Arabidopsis thaliana: one gene and its partners. The protein of the gene in region 2 interacts with the protein of the main gene of each other region in a biochemical or structural test. Each region holds a gene or a part of one and is shown on either strand. Other genes may lie near its edges.

Region 1 (6,198 bases), on a different chromosome or scaffold from region 2:
CATTGGTGGTCGTGCTATGTTATCGTATGACAGTTTCTTCATCGACAAGGAGAAAGGAATGGCCTTGCTATGTGGGTTGTGAGACAAGTAACAGACTTGCGAGCAAGAACCTTGTATACATTGTTGGGGAGGACCGTGAATACACAGAAATCCATTTTGGCGAATGGCCTAAGTTCATTCCTTTTATGAACTCATGTGAGCCGTTTTATTTTCAATTATGTTCCAAGTTTGGTTCAGTATTAGTCGATACAGGTAAGGACGTAATTTCTTCAATCTCCTTTTTTTGTTTATTCGTTTTTGCGTTTTTGTAGTAAAATCGTTTGATTAATCTATGACTAGATATATTATTTTGATTCCTGGCTTATTTGCACTACATTCAAGTTCCAACTAAAACAAGAACAAGTTGTGAATTTGACTAACTTTAAAACTACAATTGTTACATTCCAGGACGCTAAATGTTGATAGGTCACATGACTCATGACTCTTGAGAGTATTTTATGAGACGAAAGCAACATAGCATAATACTAAAAATTTATATACGTAGATCGGTTGGTGCGGAATTGAATGATGTACAGATACAAACTAAACACATGTATATTATTTACAAAAATAATGAAGAGATTTTTTATGGGATCTTTTTTGCTAGTAGGCAGATTTGCCACACCAAATAATAATAAAAACAAATACAAAGGTAGTGAATAAAATCTCTAATTCTTGAGGAAAGATCTACGCCACGGTTTATACTTAAATGCAATTACTATTTGCACTAATCATATAAATCGAGCTCCTTTTATATATACTTAAGATAATAAATTATATGAACATGGATGGTGTGTTCCATATGATAAATTATTAGAGCTATGTATATCTCTTCAGCCGAAAACACCAACACCTAAGTTACTATCTCTTGCTCCGGCGAGGATGTGCCCACGTCTTTTAATAGTCTCTCGTACAACTGCACCAACCCCAATATCAAACATAAACATTTTTATCTTTGATATGTGTTTCTTCAGTCTAATTAAGAAATGACAATAGTGGCATACCTGTCTATATAAACATGAATCGCCATAAGATTTTCTTAGCTCAACCACGTTCAGTGACGGCTTTATCTCGAAAACCTGATATCATAAGAATTTCTTCTATTAGTCAAATAATCTCACTAAATAGTCTATTGAACAGTGAAATAATGTTTACGTAATAGTTAATATACCTCAGCTGTTACTGATAAACCAACTTGACCTTTCTGGTTTCTTTCTTCTTGTTTTACTCTTAACTGAAACAAAATACAGTTTAAAGTTTATAAACCTACAGATTTGAAATTCCAAGTTGCTAAGGAAGAGGAAGACCATGTTGTGAAGACCCACCTTGGCATGTTTCTTTTGTACACTGAATCCCATTTCTGTAACGGCTGTTTCGATTTTCTCCAGTAAATCTTTTGCTGAGCTATTTGAAGTGAATCTTATTCTCCTCTCTGATACATTCTGAGAAAGTAAAAGTATAACTCCTTTTTATTATACATTGGCTCAAGCAGAGAGCAGATCTTTGAAACAGAGTATTAGAAGATTAGTTACCTCTTGTTCAAAGAAACCGGACAGGTCAAGAAAGGAAGACATTCCGATTAACTGAAACGCATTGATGATGGTCGGTGAATCACTGCCCTTCCCTTCTTCTGATCCCTAGACCATTCAAAAGAGAGACAGAGAAATGAGGACATTGTACTTGACTCAAATGCAGTTGCGATAGAGAGTAAGGGTGGCAGATTCTTACGAGTTCTTGGATTGAGAAAGCATCATCGTCTGTGTCAACTTCTTCTTCGTCATCATCATCGGGAATTGAAGGAATGTACTCAAGTTTGAACCACTCGCTGGCTTTAATACCCACAACTGTGATCCTCGTGACTGGATTTGGATCAAGCATTCTCTTAATCATGGTTCTTGCACCCGGGGATAACCATCTTGGTATTGGTGGGTCTCCTTTACATATCTAGAAATCAAATCAATTATCAAGCTTATTTCTTCAAAATGTGTATTGAATTGGCATATATATAAGAAAAAATGAGGTTTACCTTCTGGTAAAGAACTGCAAGGTTTCTGTCGTCGAAAGGAAGACATCCGGTTAGAATCACATACAAGATTACACCACAGGACCATATGTCTGATGCTGCACCATCGTAGCCTCTGTTAGCTAAAACCTCAGGCGCAACGTAATTAGGACTTCCACAGGTTGTATGCAACAATCCGTCATCCTAAAATGCCAAAGAGAAAATTAGTTGTAACTCGAACGGATTCAACAATTATAATTCTGCTGTGATATGCTATGGTTTTAAGATGATATTTTCAAGTACCCTAAAATGCTGAGGCAGAGCACTGAGGCCAAAATCAGTGATCTTTATATGTCCCTTTGCATCAAGAAGAACATTCTCTAGCTGCAATATAGAAAAACATCAGTACACTATTCCATAAGGTTTCCATGGTTTGAAACACAGTGAGAGAATCACAGACCTTGAGATCCCTGTGGAAAACACCTTTGCTATGACAGTAGCTGATTCCATCGATAAGCTGCTGAAACATTTTTCTTCCATCAGTTTCTGTTAATTTTCCGTTGGAAACCTGAGAGTTATCATCAAAGTGTGAGTTTAGCAAAAATGACACTCGTCAAAAAAAGAAAAAAAATCTTTTTTGCTTTGAGCATAGAGGCTAGTAAGAGTCTTACAATTCTGTCGAACAATTCTCCTCCGGTAACAAGTTCCATTACCATATTAATTTTCGTTTTGCTAGCCAAGACCTGCATGATTACCATAAGGAAGAGGCCATTAGTTTCAAGGTAAAGGAACAGTGAGTTCTGAGGTAAGATGTTTCATGTTTGAGAATCCAAAAGATTAGTCACAAGAAAGAAAAAGAAACATTTAGAATTCGAATTGCATTCATATCCACAGATTACATAAAAAACACTTAGTTGTCCAAGACACGACAAAGTTAGTCACGAGCTTAAAAAGTGGACCACGTGTATCAAATAAGTGAAGATCCACAATGGTTGCTTAACCAAAAGTCACGATTAATCTCGTGTTAAATGGCAAAGAGGAAGAAGCAATCGAAATAATTAGAAGTCAACAATAAAACGCAAAGATACAGCAAGCAATGACCCATACAATAATCATCTGAAATAATACTATATGAATAAAATAAAATAAAAAGTAAAACTAAGCATAAGATCAAAGAGGGTCCACATGATAAAAAGCTTAAAAGGGTACTAAGATTAAGCAATTATATGATGATCAAGCGACATATCCTGCATTTTTCACGATAATTTTTTTTAGGACCCCACCTTTGAATTGAACAGGTCAGATTTGTGTTACCGGCCAAGCCACCATATCAAATAATGGAATAATTAACTTAATAATTATGTAAAATGATGCGGCTAATTGGCAACGTGAAAAACAAGCTAAATGAAACATGTTTGGGTACGAAACCAAATGACTTGTAAGAATATTCCTAAACAGTAAAAAAAAAGATCCAAAAAGCAAACAACAATTATCCAAGATTTGAGGTGTTTTTAATCCTCGTCAGCTCCATTTTGATAGATAAAGAAACAACAATGAAGAAATTAACTAAAAATAGTTTACTAAACCTAATCTAACAATCTAAAATGACGAATCAAAATTTGAATAACCATCCATAAGCAGGCAATAATTCGATCACTTTCTGTCATACTCAGGTATATACTAAATAAACAGAAACAAGCAAACAGAAGAATAATCAAAAATTGTTATACTAATTAAGCAATAAACCTTTTTACTTCCTAATCACAGAATCATTTCGATAATCCAAAGATGATTATACACAAAAATTTAAGATACGGACCTCATGTAATCTAACAATGTGGGGATGTTTCAACATTTTCAGAGTCCGGATCTCTCTTTTTATCTGCACAGATTCATAAGAATTGGATCTGTCAAATTACAAATTTAGTAAAAGAAGAGAAAAGAAAAAAATTAGAAATGATGATAGAGAGATGGGAACCTGTAAGGAGAAGTTGAGATCGGCGATACGAGACTTGTCGATGATTTTAACGGCGAAGGAATGACCGGAGACGGTATCTTTAGCGAATTTAACTTTACCGAAATTACCCTCGCCGAGCGTCCTCCCTAGCTCGTATTTCCCCAGACGCATTCCCTTCTCCGCCTTCTTCTCCTCCTCTTGCCTTCTCACCATCCAATCAATCTCCTATTTCAATTTATTTCCCAACAAATTAACAGACAACCAAATCGATTTCTCGCTTGAATCTTCCGATTAGATTACTATTAATTCCGTTATTGAAAGAGGGGAAGTAGATTATTGTAGCTGTGCAGGTATGTGTGTGAGGGAAGGAGATATATATATATATATATATATAGGTGTAGGTAAAGAGACGAGGAAGATTGGGAAGAAGAAGAAGAAGAGAAGAAAGTGCCGGTTGAAATTGAAGAGAGGACGCTACTTCTCTTTGTTTCCTCTTCTCTTCTTATTATATTCACTTCTTTTTATATATATATTCCTCGTTAACTATTTTTTTTTGGTTTTTGTTAGCCAGATTTTTATTGGATAACTAGAAACATATTAATCTTCACAAAAGAAAAAGATTAATCTAACAAACCATATAAGATTTGATATTATCGAAATAAGATTTTTTTAGTAGGGTACTTATCGAGATTTATTATTATTGGTCAAATAAAACTCCTATCAAATGAAATTATGTCTATGTTCATTATAAGGAGAAATTTAAAAAGGATCTTATTTCTGTCAACAATCAAAATATGGAAAATATACGCAAAGAGTATATTGATTTATCAGAATAATTCTATATATGATGTATATTGCGAATATGTGTGTATTTTATGTGTGTACTTGTATGCATCAATAGGCCCACGTCATTTGTTGCATTAGTTTTATGTTGAAATTAAATAATAATAGATGAAAAAATATATTCATAAGAACTTTTGGTTTAAAGTCAGAAAGAAACGCTACAAAAAGATTGGTGCTTGCAGTTTTATAGTTCTTGTTACTGGAGCAGTTTTGATTTGGCTTTCGGATTTTAGTTCTTAAATGTAGAAACAAACTTGTATACACATAAAAGTTCACAAGGAATCACATACTTTCCAAGTTTTCATGTTGGAGTTACTTAAAAGTTGAAGTCCAACTATGATTTCTTAAAGTTACAGTTTAGTTTTGTACCTTTGTTATAAAAGAGGAGATCAAAAGAGACCTAAACTTAAGATCAAGTTATATATACACACTACAACAAATTAAACAACGCGTTCATAACCCATTCGTTTCTATGGAAATTTTGAACTTATGACTTGGTTTCATAGACAGTAGGTCTTCATTGTCGTGGCATTTTCAGTTTAAGAGATAATTTGGTAATAAACCATTTATATACGTCGATATCGTGCATGAATTGATAATTAGATTTAAAACACTTTTTTACGATAGTGCTTTCGGTTTGGGGGGAAATAAACATGGTGCTTTCAGTTTTATATTGTTTCTGTCTTTGTAGACTAATAATATTAGTTGTAGACTTTTACAAATTTTTAATTCGCAATATAGGCAAGCGTTTAGAAACACAATCGTTAATGATACACTTAAAGTTAATATTTTTTAAAAAAAACTATGGTAATTTATACTATATTTCATGTCTCGTCCTTTGTCGGCTCACAATTAATTAAATCACATGGAACCATTCAATTTATATTTGTTTTTCTTATGCGGTTTGTGTATTTAATTAAAATAAATAAATTGTTTTTGAGAATCCAAAAGTTTCAATAAACCAGGGCCTGGGCACCAGGCTAATCTCTTGAATTTGGAAAACTCCATATTATATCTTTTTATTGGATACATAGATTATTGAAGAATGTAGTGGTTCTTAGCTCTCGTCAGTCGTCCCAACATATTTTTGGTAATGAAAAGGTCATATGTCACATGTTTCTCTACACATCTTTTTCCCAAGGTTTTTATTAAAATTTGTAGTTAGTAAATGATGTGGCTGAAATGAATAGATACTATATAGAAAAGGAGAAAAAACCAATAATTAAAATTATTCGAGTCTCTCAAACGTGTCAAAATGGCCGGTGATAGTATTGCTGCCGGCAGTGAGTAACATATTGATTGATCTATGTTATCAGAACCTCTCTCTCTCTCTCTTTTGTGTGTAGATGACTAGGTG
Region 2 (5,452 bases):
CCATAGAGGCGTTTGAAATCTTTAAACACGTCCCAAGCATCATCTACACGGTGATCTTTAAGAGCTGTTTCTAGCTTCTTCTTGAGAATTACTTGAGAAGAAACTTCCCAGTTTAATCTAGCAGGTTTAACACTAGTACAGAACAGAGACGGCTTTGAGGTGCGACTACACAAGACCCATGAAATTAGGGTTTCTACGTTACCGCTATCGAATCGACGAAATGATTCTAGAACTAAGTTCCGTTTCCTAAACATTAGTCTAGAATTTCGATTCCAAATCTAGAATTTAACAAAGAAAGCACAACAATGACGAGAACATGATAACAACATACGAATTCTCCAATCGAGAAAGAACCCTAAATTGCTGGAAACTTCGAAATCGAGAGAGAAGAGAGGAACACTGTAACAAGAGAAGAGTGGCAAGACTGTAAATTTCATCGGGTCGGGTCCTAGGACATTCGTACTTTCGCTTTTGCGGTTAAGGACCCAACAAAATCTCAAATTCACGTTTTTGCAGTATAAGATTCCATTGGAACAATTAGAACCCCGAGTAAACGTAACAAATCTTTACTTTTTTACTTGAAAAAAAACAATTACAACAAACGTATGATGTAATATGTACAAACTCATTAACATTTCCTAACTATATGAAGTGAAGGATTGGTGATTACGCGCTTCTTCTTTTTTTTTTTTTGTAAGCTAAAAACCCAAAATTTTAAACTGTTGTGAGAAGAAAAAAGTAACCCAAACAATTTCAAGAGAATATGCTCTACTACTGTTTACAAACAGATGTTGATTACACCGATTAGCTCAGACTTGTTCTTCCAACTCGTGGCAATCTACTCGGTCTTAAACCAGTTTGTTTCTTCATGTGGCAATCTCATCGACCTCCGAATGGAAGACAAAACTCGGAAACGTTGTCGTAATATCCCTGCATTGTTTATGTACAAGTTAATATGACATTTCATTTGGCATTTTTCAGTTTTCTTTGGTTTCCATAAAAGGCAATTTGTAATATACCTGAGATATGGAAGAGTCATGATCTTAAGCAATGATGGATTTTTGTTTACGAAATCACTCCACTCTAATTTATCAATTTTTCCATCTTGATTCACGTCTGCATCTTCAAATGTCTGTTCATATATGAGAAGGACGAAGGAAACCACATTAAGAACATCATCTCTAAATGTATACCATCTAGAAAAATAAAGCCTTAGACAACAACAAACCTTATCGAGTATTATCTCTATGGTTTCATCAGCCAGTTTCATTTCAGATTCGCAGAGAAGCGCGATCAACATTTGCTTGACCTGCAAATATATCACATTCATTAACGATTTCTTGCAAAGTTATTAAGTAAAAGATGAATACTCAAGAACATGGCAAAGATCTATCATGACTAGTATTCAAAGCTTGCAAGTTAGTATTACCTCTTGTCGTTCAATGTAACCCGTGCAGTCCATGTCGTAAAGCCTAAACGTAACTGAGAAAAAATGGCAGACCAGAATCAATAAATCTCTTCACAAAAGCTTCAATAAACACCTATATATGAAACTATCTTATGTCAACTTACAATCTATTTTGTCTTCTAGAGAAGCATTGGGGTGGAAAACATTGAGTGATCTTACAAAGTCCCCGAAATCGATGACTCCTTTTCGTTTAACATCAAACATATCAAATATCTGCGGAAAAGCAATATTGTTTAGGATAATGGACATATTATCTTGGTTTAGATCACTCTTCCAGAAGATGAATCTTGTAAAAGCCTGAAGAATTAAGATTTTACCCTATTAGCAAATATATTCTCCCTCTTCCGGCTTTTGAACAAAGCAAGTTGAAACTCCTCCTGCATACATGTGAAGCCAGGATTAAAAAACAACATAAACAAGGTGGGCCATGAAGGCTTCAAAATTCAAAATCAAAGCAATCAATAAAATAAGTTAAGTTCAAGTCAAACATTAAGGGCTACGATACATTGAATCGATGCAATATGGAACAGACATATCGTCATGGAAGAATAATTATTGCTCAAATAAAGTCAACTAAGTTGAAAAATACTGTAGATGAATAGCGTAAAGAACAAAAAGATACAACGATGGGGTCATGAAAAGATCCAAATTGGGTCAAAAGAAACAAACTTTGTACCTTGTTAATCAGACCATCATCAACAACCGAACTGCTTATGCTCTTGAATAGCTCAAATAATGCTTCAACCTCACTCACACTAACTGGAAAAGAGAAAAAAACAAGCAACACTACGAGATCAAAACAAAGAATTACCAGGAACAAACAAACAAACAAACAAAGAGACTAATAATTCACATTTAGAATTTGCATGGAGAGAGAACTCGTCTTGACAAGTTAAGGAACAAGATTAAGGTGATGGTATTGGTAACAAGAAACATGAGATAGAGTGTTAACCAACTTTGAAGGATCATTACTAGAAATTGTTAGGCAGACAAAGACTCCAAAACACAAAACTAAAAAAATCCAAACCGGAGATAAACTAAATCAGTGAACAGAGAAAGAATGATTTGAATCTAACTGATGATTCTCATCTCATATCAGAAAACAAATGAACATGCAGCTTTGAGAGAAATGAATCTAGAGGAGGTTTAAACTTATAGCGCGAGTAAACTTACAAGCTGTCTCAGAGGCAAGCTTAACAGGGTCTTCGTGTCCTCGAAATTCTTTTGCTGCCTTTGAGTGGAAGCAGCCCATTTACAGATGAAATAAGACGATGAAACCTTATACCCGAGCCCCGGATAACGAAGAAAAGGCGGATAAAATCCAACAGCTAATTCAGCGATATCTGAGATTCTATAGCTTGATTGCTACTGTTTACTGCACAATCATCACAAACATATTTTCAAAATCTACACATATGGAAACAGAACACAAACAATGCCATTTCATTAGAAACAAATCATCTAAAAAAATCTTTGTGAAACGTAAAATTGAAAACAGTCTAGAAGAATCTCAACAACTTTGCTCAAATTTTTTTACCATGGAAGAAAAAAGTGTAAACCCTAGCAAAGTAGCATCAATGAAGAAAGAAAAAAAAAACACAAAGTTCTTCGAATCCATAAGATACGGAGATGGAATCAAAATTGTACCAGTAAAACACGATTCGAAACCAGACGATCAATGTAGAAACATCGAGAATTCCACAGGCCAAAAATCAAACTCAAAAAAACGAAATTCGATGGAAATAAAAGAAAAAGATTCTTAAAAATAAGAAGCAACACTCACCACCCAAGAGAAACGGTTCGCCGGCGAGATCCAGAGAGAGAGGAGCTAGAAACAGCAAAAAGAGAGAAAGAGAGAGGAGACGAAGAAGATTGGTGAACGGTGATGGCAAGATGGATGATCGGACGGTTGAGATCGATTATTTATTTTTCTTTTTCCTTTGGAATGAATTTTAGTAGCGCTTATATGATGGCATATTCGCACGTGTGAATCATAGTAAGCGCGTGTGAGACGAGTCAGTTTTGGAAGTTAATAGAATCGGCGTTTAGTTCAGTTTTTTCTGTCGTCATGTAATTTCAGTTAGACCGAACCTAATTGTACCTAATTCCATAGATTGATTTCTGTTATGTTCATTCTGTACTATTTATCTTCTGTCTTTTTTTCTTTTTACAACTTGATTGTTACGTAAGCATACACGATATTTTCTATGTTTCTGTATACTAAGAATGGGAAAAATATTTTTTGGACAAGAAATTCAAAATTTCTTTTGTTTCTTCTAATATCCATTCACTTCCGGAATAAATCAAAGATCCGTCCATTTTATTAGTCAAAATGGCACCTCTTAGGAATATTCTGAATATACGGAATTGGTAACCCTGTATTATAATAACTTTTTATATAGTTAGTTTATTAGATATTTGCGATGCTCCATAATTTGACTAATATGCAAAATGGAAACGCCAATAATAAAGTCTGGGAAACATTTGTCTTCGACTGATCGTGTTAGTGGTCACCATATCTTCTTTTGGTTTTGCTATCTAAAAAAACACAAGTTTTTTAATCCATTAACATTTTTTGTTTCTTTGGTAAAATAAATCCACTAACATATGTGATATTTACAGGGTGCCATTTTAAAACCATAACACTCTTGACAACTGGAAAAAGGCTCTAAACTGTAATTATCTGTTGAAATGGTTATTAACTAAATAAATCAGATCATGAAGCCAAATCTCTACAAGAATCAATTTAATTATAAAGTATTGTGTTTATGAATTAAATATGTCGTAGACCAGTCGGTGTGGAATTAGTACTTCGGTCTGCAATGTGGCAGGCAAACGTTGACATAATTAGGACCTTAATCACGACCAGACCACGTGTTTATCGTTCAAAACAATAATAATAGCGTATATATATTAAATTTCTTGATTATGATTAGTAGCTTTGATTCTCCTGCCGTTAACTCGATCAATTAGAGTTTTATATCATTTTGATATCTTTAAAGCGGGCTTAAATTGACTCTTTGGTCACCGGCCGTGTTGGGAACGCGTCCTCAAAATGTTTTGTTTAATTTGCGTATACTACGGTATTATAATTTTATAAATGCAACATAATAACATCCGGATCCGTGGCGCAATGGTAGCGCGTCTGACTCCAGATCAGAAGGTTGCGTGTTCGATTCACGTCGGGTTCAATCCCCCGAACAATTTCCGGTTTTTTTTTTTTTTTCTTCTCCTGAAGTCTATCCCATACGGCCCAATCATACTAAGTTAAGCCCAAGAAAGCCCTTATCAATAATTCTAATTTCCCCCCTAATTATACGACTAGGGTTTATCTGTCCTAAGCCATGAAAATTATTTGAAAGGGTTTAACAGAGAGATTCCTCGTAACACTTCCCTCTGTACTAATTTCAAATTCGTTTACGTTTCTTCATCTATTCTGGCTGCTTGCAGCCAATTTTTTTGAAGTTCGAAGCTTCAATTGAAATGGGTTCGTCAGTGATTACTTCATTGTCACTGAGCTTCAAGCAAGTTCCACCAGCAGCTATTCCTGCTTTCCTTGACTGTGTTTTAAGCTCCACAGGCGTATCTCCTTCAACTCTTTTCGAATCTCTCATTGAGCAATTCCCTTTTCGTTTAGAGGTATTGATTGATTGGTTTATTGTTTCACACTTCGGCAATTTGCTTCGGATTGTTCAATTTAAGATTTGAACATGTTTTTGAATAGGATACGGTAAATGGGGACAAGAGATTTGATTCTGATGATTGCAACCACATAGCTTCATTGGTGGCTGGGCTTTGTCATCTACTAAAGAATTTTGGTGAGTTACCAATTTTGAATTTTTAGATATGTATGATGTGTTAGTGATTACAGAATTGTTTAATTGATGGTTATGAGGTTGAAGCAGGCTTTGTTGCTGCGGATAATCATAATGCGTTGCAGCTATTTGTGTGGAGAGTGTTTATTCCATTGATGAAGATGGTTCG
Region 3 (5,035 bases), on a different chromosome or scaffold from region 2:
GGTCATGAACAAGTGACCAAATTATCCAATTTACCGAATGATTGATTCTTCGTTCGAAGTGAAACATGGAATAGTAGTATAGTACAACGGAGCTTCAGGAATACACACCTGCGAATTGTCCCGGGAAAAGGGAGTTGAAATCGCATGCAGCCTTTCCGGCAGTAGATTTCAAAAATCTATGGCGCAGAATTGGCTTATCGAAGGAGAAGAAGTAGTTTGTCGGACAAGAAAGGAACTCTCGGCGACAATGCAGAGCGGAGGAGCTCGAGAGAGTAGTAATTGGAAACAGAGCGTCTCAATTACTCGGTCGATGCTTCTTCCGCCATACTCCATCGTGTGGCTCACTTTTTCTCACCTTATTTCTCTTTTATCTTTTTCTTATCCAAATTAAAATTTTCAATCAAATAGACGACGTGGATTTATTATGAGTACACTTTCAAACTGGTTAGCCTTTTCCAATACCAAAAAGAAAGATTATTTTCAAAAATTTGTCACTTTCGCAAACGTTTTGTCAGAAGAAGAAAAAAAACAGGATTTATGTGTTTGGTTGCTAGCAGATAAGCTTGTTATAGCCATTATTAGCGAATGTATTTTACAGTTTTTGCAGAAAATAAAACAACAATCGTTACAATGAGAGAAGCTTTGTACACAAGCACCACAAACCAGGTAAGAAAGAGGTTAATAAACTCAAATGTTGGGCACTCACTAGTCACTATGAACAAAGAACATGTTTTCACATAATTGAGAGATGAAAAAGAAAGAAAGAGAGAGAACAATGTGGCACTGAATTTTTAGGGTTACCGTGTGAGCGGTTTGTAGAGGACAACAGTTATGTACTTAGACTCGAACCTGTGGGTTAAACCCAAAGCTACTATGGATTGAGGAGTCCATCCTTGCTCTATGAACACATGGTTAAGCACCACATGTTGAGGCTTTGTGGCTATGGCTGTCTCTTCAGTAGTGCCAAGAAGTGTTAGATGAAGCTGAGGTGGCACCGCCAGTGGCTCTTTCGCGTAATCTTCTGCGGCTGGTAGGGTTTGACCGTAGCTATGATCAGGTGATGGTGGCGCCTCAAACTCCACTATGCTTTCTGGGTTTTCTGGCACAAAGTTCTGCATGCATAATGATTGCAGATACTGTTAAGCTGATTGATAGATTTAACATGAGAAAAAAAGAGGTGGGAAAGTAACTTACATGAACATCGAGAATGTTACAGACATTGCCAACTTCGTCTGCTACAAAGGGTAAATCTGGGATGTATTTGGATTCACCGTCCACAATCACCTTGTAGTGGTATATGCCAGATGGAAGGACAAAGAGAATCGAGTGGTCTTTCCCTGATTTCTGCAGCTTCTTCCTGGTGAATGTAAACATATTGTTTTTAACATATATCACGAAATCTCGAGAGAGGGTCCACGAGAAACAAAGTCAATTATACCTTGATCTCCAATTGTCCCATGATCCTTCCACCGCCACATCATTACCTCCTTGGTTCCATGTAATGATGGTAGGGATTCCTTGCTCTGGGGGATTATCAAAAACTCTCTGTGATTGGTTCCATTGGATGTTATTAGGAGGAGGGGCGTTTGCTCTCTGCAATGGAGCCACGGGAACCTGAGAATATCCACATAAACACTGAGCCGTGAGATCTTACAAACCAATGTGCAAGAAGAATTTGCGAATGTCAAAACATTATATCTACCATCCGACACGAAATGCAGCCATTAGGTACACATGTTAAGCCTAAACAATGGAAGAGGTGACGCATAGGTGAGCAAATGTTGTAAGATGTAACGTGGAATAACAATGTGGGCTGAAAAGAAAAGGAGTCGAAAATGAATATAGCAACAGTAGACTCAGAAATTTACTCGCATACAGAGTACAGACAAGACCTTATTAGCAAAAGATATTTCACTATTCCCACAAAAACCTGATAACAAGGTCAATTTTAGAAGGTTGTCCTTCACTTATCTTATGAATTATTCACATATTAAGAACAATGAGAAGAATGACGAAACATCCAAAATCTGTAATTCGTTCAAGTAAAAGCTCTGCGTGTTTAAATTCAAAAAGGGCGAAGAAAAGAACAAGCTTGCCCTCCCTCCTCTTAAAAATGAAAGCAAAAGACATTACACAAAAGACTCACAATGCGACATGCAAATCAACAGAACAGTATCAGTAACTGGTAAATGACCAGAGAGCAGCAGGAAAGTCAAAATCAGCATAAAAACCTAGAGAGACAATAATCATCCTATTTGACTGCCATACGCTTTTCCACACCAGGCATGGAGGCATAATCAGAAGACAAATAAGACCTTCTCTAAAGCAGATTCTCTAGTATGATTAACAAGATTTTAACTCACCAAAAGGAAAAGACATAGCAATAAGGTGATCTAAGCCTCTCTCTCTCTCTCCACCAAAACTAAGGAAGAGTAACTAGCTACCTTGTCATTTACCAGAGTTTTTGACTTCTCAAGAACCAAACAAAACCAAGTCAAGTCTAATTCCTTTATACAAAAGATTTCATTCACAAACGTACTTAGTCTGCAAAGTTGCCCTCTTCACAATGAAACAAAGATAAATTACACAAAGACTCACTAAGGGACATCAAGAATCATGAGCGACCAGTAAATGACTAGAGACCGGCTGGAAAATAAAGAAAAAATAGCTAGGAAACCAAAACAACATCTTAAAGAAAGGTAGAAACTTTTCCACATTATGCATTATTTCAAGATACCTGAACCAAGATAACACAAAAATAAAAGAGATTCTCTAGTACAGAATCTCTAAACCCAACTCAGAAAAAAGCTTTAAGAACAAGAATCTACATTACAAATTCTCAAGAACCAACAGGATAACACAAATCAAGTGAACAAGTAGAGTTCACTCATAAAAAAAAGGCTGGAGATTTTGTACTTGGATCCTATCTAAATGAAGAAAGTGTCTCACAATTAGTGAAACAAATGAAAAGTCAAGTGAACGAACATTCTCTTACTCAACGAAACAAATCAAAAAGATTCTCTTACTATTATCTCTTTGGGCGAATGTTTCAATCGATTCAATTCAAAACCAGAAATCAAATTCAACGATTAAACAGAGAGAGATATTCGAGAGAGGGAACCTGAGGAGCGAATAAGAAAGGAGATGGAGATCGAGCAGGACTTCCGGGAGGAGAACTGCTCATAGAGTCTGAAGAAGGACGACGGTGACGACTGCGTGCAGAAGGATCGCCGCCATTAGATCTCGCCGAGGACGAGGTAACATCTGCACCACCGCTACCGGCGGCGGCGTCTTCGTCTTTGCCGTTCGCATTTCCCATCTGAAAAAGCCCAAATCACAGAAGCGAGAGAGACAAAGAGAGGAGAGAGATAGAGGAAAAGAGAGAGAAAACCAGACGTGAAGAAAAATGGAGGGAGGACGACGAGGAGGAGATAATGAAACGCCCCTCAAGTTAGAAGTTAATTACGAATAATGCCATTGGTAGCGAAAAAGAGATTTTGCATAAAAGGGGCTCTTGAGAGAGAGATATCATTAAAATCCGTACCAAATGGATAAACGAGTGACTTGGCGTCCAAAAGTTTATAATTATCCACTTTTTTTTTGTTTATTTCTTTTAGTATATAATAAACAAATGTGAATAAAAAGTTGGTTCAATGCCTTTGAGAAGGATAATGACACAAGGGCCAGTCACCTCCTTGCCACCGATTTGTGTGCCTTAACATCTTGCTAGAGCCAGTGATCATAGTATGCGTATCGTGACGATGAAAAGGCCTTAAACTCCAATAGGTGGGGTTAGAATAGAGATGGTCAAAGAATCATCATTTTCCAAGATTTGTATTGGTTAGTCCCGTAAACTAGTTATTGGTCGAAAGATTGTTTCGAAAAGTTTGGAGGGTTTCAAAGCCAATGTAAACTTGTAAAAGGCGATGGTCACTATTCACTAAGCCATGAGTGATTGTCATGCACTTTCCTTATAGGTTGAGTCATTGTTTTTTCTTTTGCTTTCTCGCATTGTATATTGGTCACTTTCAAATTGTAAGATTTCAGCTTTTGCTTTATCATTTACTTTGAACTAAGGTTTTGATTCAACCTCATATTTTCTTCAAACGAGTGTACTATCATTGGAAAAACTTGATTTCAATCACTTCAATTTTCATCAATATATTGACCTTTTGTTTAGAAATCTTATCTAGTGGACACTAAATCTTCCACAGACACCTTCAAATGTCATTTTCAGAGACAAAAATTCATTCAAATCTTCATCAATTACTTTATTCTTCGTAGGTTCACATATTGAAGAATTAAGATAATAGCCTCACCCAAAAAAAAAATTAAGATAATAGTTTTCACCTCAGAAATCATCGTTAATATCCATCATATATATAAAAATTATTATATGTATATTAACAATTCAGATAATTTTTCACGTATTTTTAAAAGACTAAATATTATAATTAAATAACTTAAACGAATTAAACAATAAAACAATAAAGAGATTATAAGAGCGATAACTAGTTATCTTCGTTCTCTTTTACCAACTACTAATCCTTAGTTGTAACAAAAGTTTGTTAGATCACATTAAAAGTACAAAATAACTTAGAATTGCTACACAAATTCTAACACATCTATTTAAGGACATAAACTAAGGTTAATAAATAAACGCGTTATAAATAGGTCTAACGAAAATAAGTTTATAAAGTTAATTTAAATTTTTTTAAAACCCTACATAAATGATGTTTTCTCAAAACAAAAATTAAAAAGAAATAAATTGAATGTTTTTAATTACGAAGGATAAAGACCAGATTAGAGGATATTTGTAATACTAGTAATTAAACAAATCATGAATATTATTCTTATTTTTTGTCAAATTTCAAATAGGAAAAATAGGAAATTGCTATATAAAATAAACATATACATATAAAAAAAGAGGAAAGTAACTAGGGTTTTTGGGGTTATACGTTTCACTGTTTGTTTCATCCTCGCTTATTCCTCCCTTAAAGAGTGTCGCCACCAAAACACACACACACACTTGCCT
Region 4 (3,891 bases), on a different chromosome or scaffold from region 2:
AGTGATATCACCTCTCCCAATATAGCATCACATGTGACACCATCCCAAGAACAACAGTCAACGTTCTTGTTCCATGTAGTTGTTGGTACATGTAACTCCTTTTGTACCTCTAAAAGAGCATCTCTTTGGTCGCTGCGGCACAGTAACCGTGTGGGACAAGCAATGGTGTTTGGTAATGGAAGAATGCTCAAGAAGAAATAGATGGTAAGAAAGCAATAAGATAGGCTTCGAATCATCGTCTCTCAATTTCGTTTTTTTTGGGAAAGGAAGATAATTTGTTTGTGGTAAGTGATGAGCATAAACTCACTTGTTTTTATAAAAGTGTGAGGAGCTTGACTTTTGACTTGGCAAGTCTTCCTATGAATAATTTGTTTTTGTTGGACCTTATCTTACGTCCCTTTTCTTTTACTGAAGAATTTTTTTTAGCACCCACCAATTCGACGAAATGTCTAAGATACATTATCCCCACCTATTCTTGAGGCTTTGAATTTTATATTGAGGATGTTGAAGATGCGTTGAGTTGAGCCCATGGGCTTAGCGACAAGGAGCGAATAAGAGAATCATTATTGAGTACCATGTAGTGATCAAAGCTTATGGAATCGGTAGCAGAGAGGGTAATGTATCTGCTGGTAAAAAGACAATGAAGCGGGAGATTTTGATTTCTTCATGGATTATACAAAACTGAACAGAAACAAAACAAAAAAGAGACTAAAATCCACAAAGTCACAATCTATTTACATGATGTCATTGTGCCATGAAAGAACTATATCTTCAAGCTCAGTAATCAAATCAGACCACCGTGAATCATCTTCTTCACCTTCAACAACTTTCACTTCAACCACCACAACATCCACCGTTAACTCCACTGCTTCCACCACAATCACAGTTCTTCCTCTCCCTAATCCAACAACCTTCACTTCTCCTTCCTTCTTCATCATCTTCTTCTTCACTACATAACCTAACTTCTCCCCAATCATCTTCGCCTTCTCCTCCACTTCAACACCCGAAACCTTCGCCGTGAATCTCCTCTCCTTCTTCTTCTTAGCCTCAAACAATCCAGAAAGATCTAATCCCGACGATAACGAGATCAAATCAAAAGCAGTAATCGAATTAACACTCGATTTCATCTCTACTTCCGAATCAAAGACGTTACGATGAAACTCAGAAGTCTCTAGAGACTTCTTGAACCAATTCGTTTTCATCACTGTTTCAATACTCATCCTCGTTACTGGATTCGGATCTAACATCTGATAGATTATCGATTTAGCTTGTTTCGAAATCCAGCTCGGAAACCGATAATCTCTCCGATGAATCTTCCGATACATCGCAGCGATATTCGAATCATCAAATGGAACATCGCCAACCAATAAAACAAACAAAATCACACCACAAGACCACGCATCAGCTTTTGCTCCGTCGTATCCCCTCCGTGAAATAACCTCCGGAGCTGTATAAGCCGGAGTACCACACGCCGTGTGAAGCAATCCGTTTTGTAGATGCTCCGGTAAAGCTGATAAACCAAAGTCAGAGACCTTGAGGTTACCTTGCTCATCTAAGAGTAGATTCTGAGGTTTCACATCACGGTGAGCGACACCGTCTTGGTGAGAGAAACGAAGAGCGGAGGCGAGTTGTTGAAAGTAACGACGCGCCGTTGATTCAGGAAGACGTCCACGACGGAGGACTTTTGAGAAAAGTTCACCACCGGAAGCGAGTTCCATTACGAGATAGATCTTAGATTTGGTTGCCATAACTTCATGGATCTTGAGTATGTTTGGATGATGACGAAGACGACGCATCGCATCGATCTCTCTGATTATTCTTGGTTCCATACCGGATTCGATTGTTTTCTTCTTCTCGATGATTTTAACGGCGACGAGCTCGTCGGATTCGATTGATCGAGCTAAATGGACTTTCGCGAAGCTTCCGCTACCGAGACGACGACCGAGTTCGTATTTCCCAAGGAGGATCTTCGCCGGAGTTGTTGCCGGAGATGATTGGTTTTGCGGCTGGGGAAGTGATTCCATGGCGGCGGCGGAAGGAGAAAATGGTGCCTGAGTTTTCTGAAGAGAGGTTTCAGGGACGAGTTGTTTGGTGAGTGTCTCTTTGCTTTTATAGGAAAAAGAGATTTATTGCTTTTTTATTATTCCGAAACTACCCTTGAATAAATTAGTTCTGCTGTCACTGAGAAGTAGAATCTTTTTACTTGGTATACACATTATTTTGTAATTAATTCGTTGAGAAAATTTAGGAGAAAATATTAAGTGTATTTTTTCTGTCAATTAGTAATAGTGTTTTTTTTCTCAATAATATCACATATCCATAAATAGTCAAAATAAATAAAATAAAATGGTCTTACAATGTAAAGTTTATGGGTTGACAGATAATTATCATTTATTTATTTAAATTGTTTGAAATTGGAGTGTTTATTCACCTAAAATAACTGTAGATGTTCTGTAAAAGCTTGTGTTTAAGAGTTATATATATGACTGTCAAAAAAACACAAAGAGTTATGTATATAAATTTAATAAAATCATTTCAGTTTCACTTTGAAATTTATTGTAAAATCTTCAAAAAATAATGTATATATTGTACATTTTAGAATATGACATTAATTTTAAAATCTCCTAATAAAATACATTTACTTTCAATAAATATTGTTGGAATCATTTTTTTTAATAGCTTGTAAAAATGTGTCTCAACAGACAAACATTACCCTCATATATATTTCTAGTCTCCGCTACAACACCTTCATACTTAAGAGACCATTATAAGAATGAAACTATGAATCAAAGGTTTTATGATTATGGGTCTATGTAACAAAATGTAGTTAAATCTTTAATGCTTTACAAAATTCTATAATATCTCTTTTGAAATCATTGGATTGGGTTATATGTAAATAACATTTTTCATGAATAATTCTATTGCGATTAATTTAAAGTTGTTAACTAAAAAAAGATTTGATTGAGAAAAATATATTTTATATAATCCAATGCTCCAAAAGTTCTGATATTTTGGATTTTAAGTTTTGGATCTCAATAACAACAATATCACAACCTTGATTTCATAAACTTATATGAATCTTATTGTGTATGTGTTGGTTATTAATTTATAACACATTACATTTCTTAAATAATTCTATTATCTTTTTTATATATGATGTAGGCTACATCATGTAGCTAAAAGGTGTTTTTTTTTTTTTTTTTCCATCCGCTAAAAGGTCTATAAAATAGCCTTTTGCTATGATTACAATCTCAACTCTTTTATTTTTCTTGTTTAAAGCATTACACTTAACTTTATACTTTATACACAACGATATATTCCTAAGAAAATATTTTATGGTCGATATCACAGTGTGTCTATTCCAATCTCAAGTGCTGAAAAACAAATCATGAAAAAGTTGGAGTAATCAATATTCAAAATAGAGAATATAAAATAAATCTTGGTGTTCATCATTATTATTGTTGTATCTATTCGACACTTGGTGTTGAAATTAAATATTGTATTCCTTAAATAATTTGTATTCCTACTTTCAACGGTCCATACGTGTCCATCTTTTTCTAGCTAGATTCTCTCATCAATTTTTTCCACCTGAAATGTAATTAAACCATCCTTAAATATGGTTTAACTTAACTAGCAAATTAAATCACACAAAACCGTATTATTGAACTAAGGGTAAATAAGTCATTTACTCAAGTCCCAAACTGATCAGTGATTACTGGTGGCTTTTGAGCCAAACTAACAAACCGTCAAGATTGTTTGGCAGTTGTCGACTGACATATGGACGGCTCTCATTTGGCCAAGTCAGCAAAGAATTGGGCCCATTGGTTTTGATTTTGGTGTTAAAAACAAAAGTTCAATTTCTAGAATTATTTTATTCTCCTCAGATTTAGA

What was found.
Region 1: of the proteins of CBL1 (region 2) and CIPK1, one has a biochemical effect on the other in vitro, tested with the Arabidopsis thaliana proteins (one study listed by BioGRID).
Region 3: the proteins of CBL1 (region 2) and AKINBETA1 form a complex in vitro, tested with the Arabidopsis thaliana proteins (one study listed by BioGRID).
Region 4: the proteins of CBL1 (region 2) and CIPK7 form a complex in vitro, tested with the Arabidopsis thaliana proteins (one study listed by BioGRID).

Annotation. Positions count from the first base shown.
Region 1 is NC_003074.8:5,988,417-5,994,614, forward strand, and holds CIPK1 (CBL-interacting protein kinase 1), read right to left. Parts: upstream 4,586-6,198; 5' UTR 4,212-4,585; coding exon 4,020-4,211; intron 3,924-4,019; coding exon 3,861-3,923; intron 3,663-3,860; exon of another isoform or gene 2,800-3,662; coding exon of another isoform or gene 2,785-2,799; coding exon 2,713-2,784; intron 2,610-2,712; coding exon 2,502-2,609; intron 2,426-2,501; coding exon 2,345-2,425; intron 2,246-2,344; coding exon 2,066-2,245; intron 1,984-2,065; coding exon 1,768-1,983; intron 1,677-1,767; coding exon 1,572-1,676; intron 1,482-1,571; coding exon 1,365-1,481; intron 1,274-1,364; coding exon 1,211-1,273; intron 1,119-1,210; coding exon 1,044-1,118; intron 956-1,043; coding exon 893-955; 3' UTR 508-892; downstream 1-507. Other genes in the region: AT3G17500 (F-box family protein), read left to right, coding at 1-82. UniProt on the Arabidopsis thaliana protein: CIPK serine-threonine protein kinases interact with CBL proteins. Binding of a CBL protein to the regulatory NAF domain of CIPK protein lead to the activation of the kinase in a calcium-dependent manner.
Region 2 is NC_003075.7:9,814,410-9,819,861, reverse strand, and holds CBL1 (calcineurin B-like protein 1), read right to left. Parts: upstream 3,509-5,452; 5' UTR 3,252-3,508; exon of another isoform or gene 3,116-3,251; intron 2,876-3,115; exon of another isoform or gene 2,844-2,875; 5' UTR 2,721-2,843; coding exon 2,642-2,720; intron 2,228-2,641; coding exon 2,145-2,227; exon of another isoform or gene 1,882-2,144; coding exon of another isoform or gene 1,846-1,881; coding exon 1,786-1,845; intron 1,682-1,785; coding exon 1,573-1,681; intron 1,483-1,572; coding exon 1,430-1,482; intron 1,310-1,429; coding exon 1,229-1,309; intron 1,133-1,228; coding exon 839-1,132; 3' UTR 509-838; downstream 1-508. Other genes in the region: AT4G17616 (Pentatricopeptide repeat (PPR) superfamily protein), read right to left, coding at 1-254; AT4G17610 (tRNA/rRNA methyltransferase (SpoU) family protein), read left to right, coding at 4,952-5,107, 5,193-5,286, 5,374-5,452. UniProt on the Arabidopsis thaliana protein: Acts as a calcium sensor involved in the signaling pathway during growth and development and in response to abiotic stresses. May function as a positive regulator of salt and drought responses and as a negative regulator of cold response.
Region 3 is NC_003076.8:7,204,002-7,209,036, reverse strand, and holds AKINBETA1 (5'-AMP-activated protein kinase beta-2 subunit protein), read right to left. Parts: upstream 3,371-5,035; 5' UTR 3,320-3,370; coding exon 3,122-3,319; intron 1,872-3,121; exon of another isoform or gene 1,814-1,871; coding exon 1,703-1,813; intron 1,615-1,702; coding exon 1,439-1,614; intron 1,358-1,438; coding exon 1,195-1,357; intron 1,113-1,194; coding exon 798-1,112; 3' UTR 541-797; downstream 1-540. UniProt on the Arabidopsis thaliana protein: Regulatory subunit of the probable trimeric SNF1-related protein kinase (SnRK) complex, which may play a role in a signal transduction cascade regulating gene expression and carbohydrate metabolism in higher plants.
Region 4 is NC_003074.8:8,170,787-8,174,677, reverse strand, and holds CIPK7 (CBL-interacting protein kinase 7), read right to left. Parts: upstream 2,200-3,891; 5' UTR 2,025-2,199; coding exon 735-2,024; 3' UTR 536-734; downstream 1-535. UniProt on the Arabidopsis thaliana protein: CIPK serine-threonine protein kinases interact with CBL proteins. Binding of a CBL protein to the regulatory NAF domain of CIPK protein lead to the activation of the kinase in a calcium-dependent manner.